Cricetulus griseus: one gene and its partners. The protein of the gene in region 1 purifies or fractionates together with the protein of each later gene. This does not show direct contact. Links are inferred from orthologs where the notes say so. Each region holds a gene or a part of one and is shown in the gene's direction. Other genes may lie near its edges.

The links. The genes of interacting proteins can lie anywhere in the genome.
Region 2: the proteins of Smarcc2 (region 1) and Bcl7a purify together in Homo sapiens (affinity purification with mass spectrometry; 4 studies listed by BioGRID and IntAct, counting the BioPlex papers as one, with this or other methods). This does not show direct contact. The link is inferred for Cricetulus griseus from reciprocal best matches to the Homo sapiens genes SMARCC2 and BCL7A.
Region 3: the proteins of Smarcc2 (region 1) and Bcl7b purify together in Homo sapiens (affinity purification with mass spectrometry; 3 studies listed by BioGRID and IntAct, counting the BioPlex papers as one, with this or other methods). This does not show direct contact. The link is inferred for Cricetulus griseus from reciprocal best matches to the Homo sapiens genes SMARCC2 and BCL7B.

The regions. Positions count from the first base shown.
Region 1 is NW_023276806.1:129,407,478-129,411,640, reverse strand, and holds the end of Smarcc2 (SWI/SNF complex subunit SMARCC2), read left to right. Parts: intron 1-248; coding exon 249-383; intron 384-1,166; coding exon 1,167-1,527; intron 1,528-1,830; coding exon 1,831-2,259; intron 2,260-2,848; coding exon 2,849-2,925; 3' UTR 2,926-3,611; downstream 3,612-4,163. UniProt on the Homo sapiens protein: Involved in transcriptional activation and repression of select genes by chromatin remodeling (alteration of DNA-nucleosome topology).
Region 2 is NC_048597.1:103,134,531-103,138,093, forward strand, and holds part of Bcl7a (B-cell CLL/lymphoma 7 protein family member A), read left to right. Parts: intron 1-629; coding exon 630-797; intron 798-3,563.
Region 3 is NC_048597.1:114,258,290-114,262,287, forward strand, and holds the end of Bcl7b (B-cell CLL/lymphoma 7 protein family member B), read left to right. Parts: intron 1-1,499; coding exon 1,500-1,670; intron 1,671-2,111; coding exon 2,112-2,191; intron 2,192-2,435; coding exon 2,436-2,528; 3' UTR 2,529-3,439; downstream 3,440-3,998. UniProt on the Homo sapiens protein: Positive regulator of apoptosis. Plays a role in the Wnt signaling pathway, negatively regulating the expression of Wnt signaling components CTNNB1 and HMGA1.

The DNA.
Region 1 (4,163 bases):
TAGTCATCTCTTTAAACTTCTAAATCGCTTACCATTGGCTGTTTCTAGCCCTTTAATGTCTTTTACTTGTCTTAGCATTTGCTGTTCTTTTTCTACATGCTTTTCATTTAAAACAGTTACAGTTACACTATTGTGAGTTGTGATCATCGATACTTCCTTCTTAAACCTGCCAGCCTCTGTCCTTCCCTCTCTCTCTGGGGTGTCTGTCACTGAGTCCTCAGGCTGACCCTGTCACACTCTTTGCCTAGCACCTGGCTGCTGTTGAAGAGAGGAAGATCAAGTCTTTGGTGGCTCTGCTGGTGGAGACCCAAATGAAGAAACTAGAGATCAAACTCCGCCATTTTGAGGAGCTGGAGACGATAATGGACCGGGAGCGAGAAGCAGTGAGTAGCATCCAGTCAGAAGTCAGCAGGAGCCTGGAGCCCTGCCAGAAACTGGGCTTAGGGGTCCTGAGGCTGACAGGACATCACAGCAGACAGGAGTAGGGCAGGGTTCCTAGCGACTTCCACAGGTGAGCCGCTAAGTAGGCTTTTTGACTGCTACATCTCTAGGTCTGGCAGCAAGCAATGCTTACCTCTTACTAGATTTTCATAAAGCTGAGTGCCTGGCCAAGTGGGCGTTGGTGGCGCACGCCTTTAATCCCAGCACTCCAGAGGCAGAGGCAAGTGGGTCTCTGTGAGTTCGAGGCCAGCCTGGTCTCTAGAGCGAGTGGCGAGTGCCAGAATAGGCTCCAAAGCTACACAGAGAAACCCTGTATCGGGGGGGGGGGGGGGGGACACTATGTGCTGGGAGATTCAGAATAAAGTCAAAATTCAAGGGGCCAGTGTATCCATGTGGGAATGCTTCCTAAGAACAGTAAGTTTTTAGCAGATTTTGAAGGAAGAAAACTTAAGTTGATAGGAACTGGAAATGAGTAATAACAGGTTCAGAGTTTTGGGATTGAAATGAACCAGAACCACACCATATCTGCTAACATGCAGTGAAGAGGGATGTGGATACCGGGAGGAGGCATGAAAAGAGTGGGATGCAGAGGACAAAGGAAGCAAGGGTTCGGTCTTGGGGAAACACCAGCTGAGAGATAGGGTCTTTGAAAAGAGAAAGTAGGCCGAGGCATTTGCCCAAGTATCTTGTGGGACCTGGTAACAGTATTCCGTCGGCACTGGCAGCTGGAGTATCAGCGGCAGCAGCTCCTGGCCGACCGACAAGCCTTCCACATGGAGCAGCTGAAGTACGCAGAGATGAGGGCCCGGCAGCAGCACTTCCAGCACATGCAGCAGCAGCAGCAGCAGCAGCAGCCAGCTCTGCCCCCAGCCGGGGCTGCCGGGCCACCCACAGCCCATGGCCTAGCCGTGGCTCCAGCAGCTGTGGCCCCTGCTCCTGCTGGCAGTGGGGCCCCTCCTGGAAGCTTGGGTCCTTCTGAACAGATCGGGCAGGCAGGGACAACTGCAGGGCCCCAGCAGCCACAAGCAGCTGGAGCCCCCCAGCCTGGGGCAGTCCCACCAGGGGTACCCCCCCCTGGACCCCATGGTGAGTATGAGTTCTGCAGTGTGTGTTGGCTGTAGAGAGCCAGCCAAACATTCTGGTTTCTTGAAGGGATGACCTGATGGGCCCAGAGATGAGTTGGTTGTAGTTTCTACAGGTGGGCGCCATTATATTCTGTCCCCAAACCAGCAGGGATTTTTCCCAAACAGATATCTGGGGTTTTATTCCAAGAATTTACCACTTATTCTAGTGTCAGGAAAAGGGGAGGTGGCACCAGCTCGTGGCTAGTGAGGCTGGAGCTGGTACGCAAGGGTTCACCTCTCACCTCTTTGTCCTCTTTGTTTCTAGGCCCCTCACCGTTCCCCAACCAACAAACTCCTCCCTCAATGATGCCAGGGGCAGTGCCAGGCAGCGGGCACCCAGGCGTGGCGGGTAATGCTCCTTTGGGTTTGCCTTTTGGCATGCCGCCTCCTCCTCCTCCTGCTGCTCCATCCATCATCCCATTTGGTAGTCTAGCTGACTCCATTAGTATTAACCTTCCCCCTCCTCCTAACCTGCATGGGCATCACCACCATCTCCCGTTTGCCCCGGGCACTATCCCCCCACCTAACCTGCCTGTGTCCATGGCGAACCCTCTACATCCTAACCTGCCGGCGACCACCACCATGCCATCTTCCTTGCCTCTCGGGCCGGGGCTCGGATCCGCCGCAGCCCAGAGCCCTGCCATTGTGGCAGCTGTTCAGGGCAACCTCCTGCCCAGTGCCAGTCCACTGCCAGGTGAGAAGGGGCCAGGAGGGGAGAAGGGTGAGGGAGAGGGTTCCACACGGTGGGAGGGAGGGCAAGCGGGGAAGGGTTAGATGCTAGGATTTCCACAACTGTTTTCAACAGTCTGGTAAAACTAGAATACAGGAGGAAGGGCCTCTCTGCCTGTCCTCCATTTCCCAATTTGGCAGCTGCCACCCCTGGGATGACGTTGGGGCCTTTCACTGGTGGGTCATGGAGGAGTCCAGTGGCACAGAGGACTTCAGCTGTAAACCTGGAAACTAGCTACCCATTTGCATGACGATGGCACTCCTTTGCTTGTTCCCACCACATTCAGATGCCCCATTTAGAGTCCTTGGGGGCAGGAGGATGGTTTGGGGTATGAGATTTTCCCAGTGTCAGGTGTTAAAGGGTATTGGGAAAAGAAGTTCCACAGAGTGGGCACCTCACTCATCTACCCGCCCACTGCATGCCACGCCCAGTTCTCTGTGTGCGCGTGTGTGCGTGCGTGCTTGCGTGCGTGCGTGCGTGCGTGCGTGCGTGGAGTCTGGGGATGGAGCCGTCTCTGCCTGCTCCAGCTCACTTGTCTTCCTTTTCTCCACAGACCCAGGCACCCCCCTGCCTCCAGACCCCACAGCTCCAAGCCCAGGCACAGTCACCCCTGTGCCACCTCCACAGTGAGGAGCCAGCCAGCCATCTCTCCCCCTCACTCCCTGTGGAGATCACAGTTCCAGGAACAGCCCTCCCCCACTACTGGGACCCTCCCTCAGCCTGGAGAGTTCGGCACTACGTAAGGAAAGCTCTTCCTGCCCCTTCACCGCCCCCACCATGCCCAGCAGAGGTGTGCAGTTTTATATCCAGTTCTTATCCACGGACTTCTGACTAAAAGATGTTTCTAATGCCTGGGAGGGAGGATAGGATGGAGATGGTGCCCTCAAAGGAAGGGCTGGGGAAAGATGCTTTTACGAGGTTCTACTAACCACTTCTGAGGGCACACCCCCTTCAGACTTACTGCATTCTTGAAGTGGATAACATGAAAACGCAGCCCTTAAAAAGGGAGGTTTTAAAAAGACACATTGGAGCCCACAAAAAAAAAAACAAAAAACATTTTTTTTTAAAGGGGGAAGGGCAGGTTTTAAGAGGAATTAAAGTTTGGGGGCAAGTTGTGGGGATGGAATAGGGTACCAAGCCTGTCTCCCCGAGCCCCTTGGTAGTACTGAGTCAGCCCCTTACCCATTCCAGTTCACGCTAACCCCTCCTGCTGCTTCGTCATTGTTGCTGTTTTAGGCCACCCCAGCTCAGCCAATGACCTTTCCCTCTGAATGTCAGCTTTGTGTTTGTTTTTAAAAAGTCACCTGCTTAGTTGATGTCAGTGTATGTGTATTTGGTGGGGAAATGTATTTTGGGGGGGATTCCGTGGTAGGTAATAGAGGAAGAAAGGGCCATGGTGAGGGCTGTTCTTCCTGCTTTCCTTGGTTGTTTCTGAGCGTTTAGAAGACATGGAAATCATTGGGAGCTCTAAGAGGATGGGCAGTCTGTAAACTCTGGAAATTTGAAAAGCACTTAAACACCTACTTTTGACAGTGGGACGGATACTCTGCTAACTTCTGCCCTCTCCTGCCAAGCCTGGCAGAACCTCACTGATAGTTAGGCGGTCCCCAAATGAGGACAGAGAGTTGGGAGCAGCGCGGCATGGCTGTGCTCCCTGGGCACCAGGGCCTCTCCACTAAAGTCTCCCTCTTCACCCTCTTTGTGAGGCAGACAAGATTCCAGGCTCTACACCAATGCTTGGTCCTCCTGCCAGGCCCTTTGATCCTCCTGTCTCAGTGTTTCTTTTCCTCTGCATCTTGGCATCTTTCTTCTGTTCAAAGTTTTCTGTAAAATTCTTTCTTTGTTCTTTTCTTTTTTTTTTTTTTATA
Region 2 (3,563 bases), on another chromosome or scaffold:
ATGTGTTTGTTTTCATTTCATGTTTGTTTGCCACATGTATGGAGGCAGTAGAGGGTCAGATCCTCTGGAAGTGGAGTTATGAACAGCCACATGGGTGCTGTCAGCCAAACCTGCATCCTCTGTAAGAGCAGCAAGTGCTCGTCACTGCTGAGCCATCTCTCTAGTCCTGTGTGTTCTCTTTTTTTGATAACATGCTGACTCTAATTTGTGCTGCTCATATATTTATGGGTGTGGCCCAGCCCACAGGAGCATGGTCAGCCTACCAAGGGCGACACCCTTAAAGAAAACAGACTCCCCCAGAAGAATCAAGAGCCCCTCCTTCATGCTGATATGTTGCCTGGCTTCATCCTCAAGCAGCTAAAGCTACGGTGCTTTCATGAGCCCTGTGGTCCTGTCAAGGCCAGGACCATTCTCTGTTTTGTCTGGCAGGCCCCAGACACAGGGACCTCCTTAGTTAGCCAGGGCCTGTGGGGGAGGTGTAGGGAGGAGATAATCAGACTAGCTCTGGTCAGACTCCCTGACCTCACAGGCTCGGGAAAGCTGGGCCCCCTCCCACATGTATGCATGTGTACACGCTACCCTCTCCTCAGCAGCTATAGGATATCAACCTGTGCTCTGTTCCTGTGCAGATGAAAACAGCAACCAGAGCTCCATAGCAGATGCCTCTCCCATCAAACAGGAGAACAGCAGCAACTCCAGCCCTGCCCCAGAGCCCAACGCATCTGTGCCCAGTGACGGCCCTGAAGCCAAGGCTGACGAGGCACAAGCTGATGGAAAAGAGCACCCTGTAGCTGAAGGTACTTGCTGTCCAGGGATGGGACTCAGAGGGGCTGCTGCGGGTGTTTTAAGGAGGCTTTGCTGTAGGCCAAGCCTAGACCATGAGTGTAGAAGAAAAGTAAGGCCTGGTTTGGAGCCATTAAGACAGGAGAAATCAGAGGGTGGTAGTGGCGCACGCCTTTAGTTCCAGCACTCAGGAGGCCAGCCTGGTCTACAGAGTGAGTTCCAGGACAGCCAGTGCTGTTACATAGAGAAACCCTGTCTGGGGGAAAAAACAAACAAATAAGCAAACAAATAATAAAATTAAATAGCAATCACTAGAATTAGAAAATGGGGTGACAGTCTTGTTTAATTATGAAGTTGGTTAGGAAAAGCTTTTTTGTGACATAAGTCAGGTAAAGATGTTGGGCAAGTAAACAATTCAAGAGGCTATCTGGGAGAACATTGGGCAGACAAGCAGGTGGTACAAAGGCCCTGAGGCAAAGGCAAGGTCAGTGTGGCAAGAGAAGTGAGGGATTGGAAAAGTAAGAGTCAGAGGTATGGGTGGGCTCCAAATGTGGTGAGCTCATAAGGCCACTGCTCCCTGACTTTTTTATGAGCAGTGAGACACCACCATGGGTTGATAAGACCTAAAGAACTTAGAAAATGTGATGTGGTGCTTAGGGTGGAGGTGGCAACACCTTTGTGAGATTGCAGCCATTATCTGTGAGGGAGGGTGGTAGCTAGGCTAGAACAGGAGCAGAAGGGTGATACAAGTTCTAATAACTGGTGGTGGGTGGTATAGAGCTCTAAGCCCAGCCCAATAGAGGCTGGTACAAGATGACCAGTATGAGGCCAGCCTGAGCTACAGAGCAAATCTGGGGCCAATCTTGAACAAAATGAAGAAGTTTGGGAGATGGCTCAGCAGTTAAGATGGCTGCTCTTTCAGAGGTCCTGAGTTCAATTCCCAGCATCCATATGGTGGCTCACCACCATCTCTAGTGGAATCCAATGTGCTTTTCTGGCATACAGGCATACATGCAGATAGAGCACTTATACATAAAATAAATAAATCTTAAAAAAAAAAAAAAAAAAAAAAAAAAAAAAAAAAAAGAGTATTGGTTGCTCTTACAAAGGACCCAGGTTCCAATCCCAGCTACCACAAGGTAGCTCACAACTCCAGTACCCGGGGTATACAGTCCAGTGCCCTCTTCTGGCTTCCAAGGGTACTGCATGTATGTGGTGAAAACAAACACAGAATAAAAACAATGGATAAAAGGCTAGAAATGGGGCATTGGTGGCGAACGCCTTTAATCCCAGTACTTGGGAGAAAGAGGCAGGTGGATCTCTGTGAGTGCCAGGATAGGCTCCAAAGCTACACAGAGAAACCCTGTCTCGAAAAACCAAAAACCAAAAACCAAAAAAAAAAAGGCTAGAAATGTAGGTCAATGGTAGAACTCTGACCAGGCATGCAAGGACCCTAGGCTTAACCCCCCCCACACACACACCAGAAAAGTTTCCTTATAATTGCCCTAGTGGCTTTGCTAAAGCCCTGTCCCATTTACATCTATGGGCATGACCTCTCGTCTCTCCTTGAGGGCTCTTCTAGTCAGGGCAAACCCACTAGGCTTCCCAGGATCTTGCTGGTTAGATAACACTTAAGGCAGAAGGTGGAGAGGCTGGGATGGGCCATAGCCACAGCCAAACTGCTGTTTACTACAGCATGGCCTTGGACAGACAGCATCGACTCCCATGTACCTACCTGTTTTCTTGTTTCTAGAATGGGACCGATAAAAGTGGCTTCCCTTGTCAGGGTGTCACAAGGAATAAAGGAGGTGGAGATATCAGCAAAGTGCTCAGCAAAATTCTGGGGTGGAGGAAGGGACTGGGGGTTTGGAGTGGAGTGAGCCCCCACGCCCCACTCTGTGTGGAAGGGTGTTCTGAGGTTACTAGGGCAAGTGTGATCATGTCTGGAGCTCTCTTGGCGTCATTCCTATTCTGCTGTCTGGTTACAGCCTTATTCCCCATTGGAATCTGGGTCCCATTCCCCCTAACAGGCCAGTTGAGCTCAGCTGTCTCAGCTGTAGGAGTTAATTTGGGGTGACAATTCTGTGACGCTATCTTGTATACCTCCACACCCCAACTGCACTGAATACTTCACAGGCCCAAGTGGGAATCATACCAGGATCCTCTTCCAGTCACCCCAGGCCACTGGGCTTGTACCCACCTGCCCCAGCCCTCATGCAAAGGGAATAAGCCCAGGACCCATGTGACCTCCCCACAGGTTGGTGAACTGGGAACGGGTGGGTTGGCCACCAGCTGTTGACCTTGCTTTGAACTTGTTTACTGCTGGGTAAGTTCAGGGAATGACATAATGTCCAAGCTCCCTGAGCTAAATTTAGGCTCCGGGAAAATAATTTCCCCTGGGTGCGTTCCAGAGGCACCAGGACGCTCAGAGAACAGGCTGCTGTCCTGAGCCCTGGCATGCTTTGAGCTGCACCATTGGCTCCCTCTGAACCCACAGGCCTGGCTCTCAAGGAAGCCTGGAACCTGGGCATGCCTGTGCCAGCAAACAGGCTGTGTGAACTTCAAATCTCCTGTGACTGACTGCCTAGGGAGCCTTAAACCCTCCTCCCCCTCCATCTGTAGATCCTGATGCATGCAGAAAACAAACTGGCCACAGAGGCCAAGCCACTGATAAGGCAGACTTTTTAGGTCAGTTACAAATGTGTTTTGTTAAAGAAAGCAAATAGATTATGAAATAGAATACAAAATTAATGTGGATTTTTTTTCTTCTCTCTTTTTTG
Region 3 (3,998 bases), on another chromosome or scaffold:
TAAGCTATCTCTTTGGAACTGTATGTGCAGCTACCCAGCACGTAGTTGTCCCTGCTTTCCTCCTTCCTCCCCACCAAAGTCAGTTTCACAGGGCAAGGATGTTCAGTGATCAGAACGCTCCAAGAGACAGGAGGCCTCAGCCTGGTCACCACTTCATCCCTTTGTTTGTACTTCCTGTGCCTGGCACTGGAATGTTGGGGACAAGTCTACTCCAGGAACTGCCCATACAGTGTGAGAGTAGGTGACTAGTGTATGCACAGGGCCAGTGGAAGCATCAGAGCTCATGGGATGGGAACACTGGGGCTCCACAGAGCAATCGGTGCTGTCACAGCATGCTGCAAATGTATAGAAGCTTTCAAGGGAGGCTGGAAAGAAAAGTCATACCAGCCAGCAGCAGGGAGGTCGGCAGAGATATGGTTCATGGAGCAACACTTGGTTAGCTTCCAGCTTCTGGAGCCAGGCTTTAGGTGAAAGACTGGCAGACAGTGAGGCCTAAGGGCAAAACCATCTTCTGTCTGCTCTCAGGAGTGCAGGGGCACAGAGCACTTTCCACTTCAGGACCCTTGCATGGTTGCAGTGTTCACTCTGCCCGTAGTGTGGGCCATGAGGTTCAAGGCTGTCACATTGGGCTAGGCCAGCATTAGGTCTGAACTGAGGTGCATTCAGGCAAGGAGCATGTGCACATGACCAGGACTGTGCCTGCTGGAGGCGATGCTGGAGGGGGAACTGTGGAAGCCTCAGCTTTTAATTTCCTTGGTGATCTTAAGCCTTTAGACAGAGTTGGTAATCTCTCACCCTTGGGGCAGTTGGGTGGCTGAGAGCCTGAGGTGACCACCTCCATATACCACAGCCTCCTTCAGAAGCCCTGAGGGCCAGACATGTGGTGCTACCATTCTGTATGCCATGGGCAGGCACAGATGGCACCACCACCTCCCACTGTGCAGCGAGAAGCTACCAGGCCAGAGCTGTAATTGGTAGGCAATAGAAAACATGGTTATAGAAGCAGAGCTCTCTATTCCTGGGCTAGAAATGTGTGCTCTTGTTTTGGCTGCATGTACCATATATTGTCAAGTAGAAATGCTTGGGTTGGGAATATGGCTCAGTTGGTAGAATGCTCACTCAGTACACAGGAAGCCTGGGTTTCATCCTTGGTATCACACAAACAGGTACTTGCTTCTGAGCTCAACCCTCAAGAGGTGAAGGCAGGAAGATCAGAGTTCATAGTGAGTTCAGCTCCATACGTAGTGCTTCTTGCCAAATGTGGTGAGTCACACCTGTATTTAGGACTGGGGAGGCAGAGCCAGGAGAATCAATGTAACACTGAGGCCAGCCTGGTCTATACAGTGACATCTGTCTCAAAACCATCAGCTTCGACTCTGCAGATAATTCCCAGGCTTCCTTTTTAGAGGCATCTGTATCAATGGTAACTATTGGTGGCTCTGGCTGAGCTCCTTGGATGGTGCCACCCCAGCTGTTTCTTTACTGTGTTTGGTTTTCAGATGAGAACAGCAACCAGAGCTCCATGTCTGATGTCTATCAACTCAAGGTGGACAGCAGCACCAACTCAAGCCCCAGCCCCCAGCAGAGCGAGTCTCTGAGCCCTGCACACACTTCAGACTTCCGCACTGATGACTCCCAGCCACCCACACTGGGCCAGGAGATCCTTGAGGGTGAGTTGTGGAGGTGCCTTACATAACATCTTTGGCCCTTGTTAGCTTCTGTGTTTTTGGCCTGTTACCCATAAGTCACAAAATTGAACTTGGTGTGGTGTGAATAATGTGTGCCTGCTGTTAGCCAAATGTTGTTCTAGCTCCTTCCATTTGTTTTATCTAATGTTGGAGCAGCCCACTCATAGGGCAGGGAGGCCTAGTAGGAATGGTGATATTTGGAATGGCAGGTGAGTTTTGGTTCCATGTCTGCCACCTAGGCTGGGATGGTGGTCCTCTGTGGATAAAGTCACACTTTATCCATCATACATGAGGGACACTGGCTCCTCAGCCAGGCCTGCACATGCTTCCAAGGCCCACATCCTCTTGACATGACTCTCAGGAACTCTTCCCCAGACCAAGGCCAGCCTAGACCTACCTTGAGCTAACTCGCTGCTGTTACAGAGCCATCACTGCCTGCATCTGAAGTTGCAGATGAGCCTCCCACCCTCACGAAGGAAGAGCCGGTCCCACTAGAGACACAGGTAAGAGGTCCCTGGCTTTCCCCATTTCCAAGGAAGAGAAGGAAAGACTCTAGGAATTTTGTGGATAGCACAGCTGTGCAATGGTAGGGTGCAGAGTTTGCTGGGGAAACAGTCACCGGGTTTAAAAATAGGGTCAGGGTTTGGTCACCTGTGAACAGACAGAGGATAGGCTTCATGCTGCAGTGTGGTGAATGGGCAGGGCTACTCAGGGCTGGCTCGTCATGCTCTGTCCTGCTGTTTGTAGACCACTGAGGAAGAGGAGGACTCCGGTGCCCCACCCTTGAAGCGATTCTGTGTGGACCAACCTGAAGTGCCGCAGACCACGTTGGAAAGCTAGCACCATCCTGGCCCCTCGCCTCCTGGCCCCTGCCTCTATTTATTGCATTCTGGCCTAGCCGAGCTCTGATGCTGGGGTCCAGGCAAGCACTAGGGTCCAGAGCCTTTGTGTGGGAGCCCTCTGGGCTAGAAGGCTGATGGAGGGCGTGGGGTCGTCGCATCATCTTCCTGTCCCTGACACTTGTGCCTGCTTGCTCTTGAGCAGAGGAACACTCACATCCTTTCTGCACCCCAAGTAGGCCAGAGCATCAAGGTTCATTTGCCACCTCCAGAACCACTGCACGGAGCTGCTGGCGCTGCCACGAGGAGAAAGGTGTGGAAGGCACCCTAGAGAAGAGTGCCTAGGATTACTTGAACTTGAATGGAGACTGTACAGTCATGGACTTAGCCACAGGGCCTGGGCCCTGCAGGCTGCTGCTGGAAGAGGGACTGATCGGTAGAGATGTGGAGAGCAGTGGGGAGATGCTTTCCCAGGAGGGAAGGCTGTCTGTACCTGTGGGCAGGCCACCCATGGGGGATTGCATCCTGTCCCTGAGGCAGGCCTGCCTCTGGTAGATGCCCCAGTTGCTCCCAGCCCTGTGCCTGCCAGAACCTTCCACTTCCCCCCACTCACCCACTCACCACGCACACACATGCAGCTTCCGGTTTTCACTGTCCATTGCATTCCAGCATCCCTGCCTCCAACTGCAGAAACCCCAGCCAGGATTGGAGGTTCTGACCACAGTACCTGCTTCAGCTCAGACTTTCTAGAAAGTTCCCTTTTCTTTGAAATCTGCATGTTTAATTGAACTTTATGATTTTATTTTTTGTCTGAAAAAAGAGTTTAAGAAAAAATGGAAATGGGCAACAGCAAGTGAAGACCTATTTTAGCACTGAATAGAGTATTTTTAAAATTAAACTATTTGAAGTATGTCTTGTTAGTGTCTGATTGCTTCTTTCTACAAGGTTGTGGGAACAGACTTGGGGTGGGTGTGCCCTTGTTGTGAGGTCCTTATGGGCTGACCCCGCCCACTGTCTTATTCCCATGGAATGCACTTTTTTCTTTCCTCCTCCTTTTTGTTTTTGTTTTTGTTTTTGTTTTTGGAGACAGGGTTTTTCTGTGTAGCTTTGGAACCTGTCCTGGCACTTACTCTGTAGACCAGGCTGGCCTTGAATTCACAGAGATCCACCTGCCTCTGCCTGGTCCATGGAATGCCCTTTCTGATAAAAATGGTTTGAAGACTGCCCATTTAGCAGGGTGGTGGGGGCAAATGCCTTTAATCCCAGCACTCCCTCCCAGAGGCAGAGGCAGGCGGATTTCTGTGAGTTTGAGTCCAGCCTGGTCTACAGAGCAAGTTCTAGGACAGCCAGGGCAACACAGAGAAACCCTGTCTTGAAAAACAAAACAAAACAACAACAACAAAAAAGACTGCCTGTTTGAAATTAGTGTGAGTGGTGAGTGTGATAGCAGCCTGGAACACTGGCACCCAGG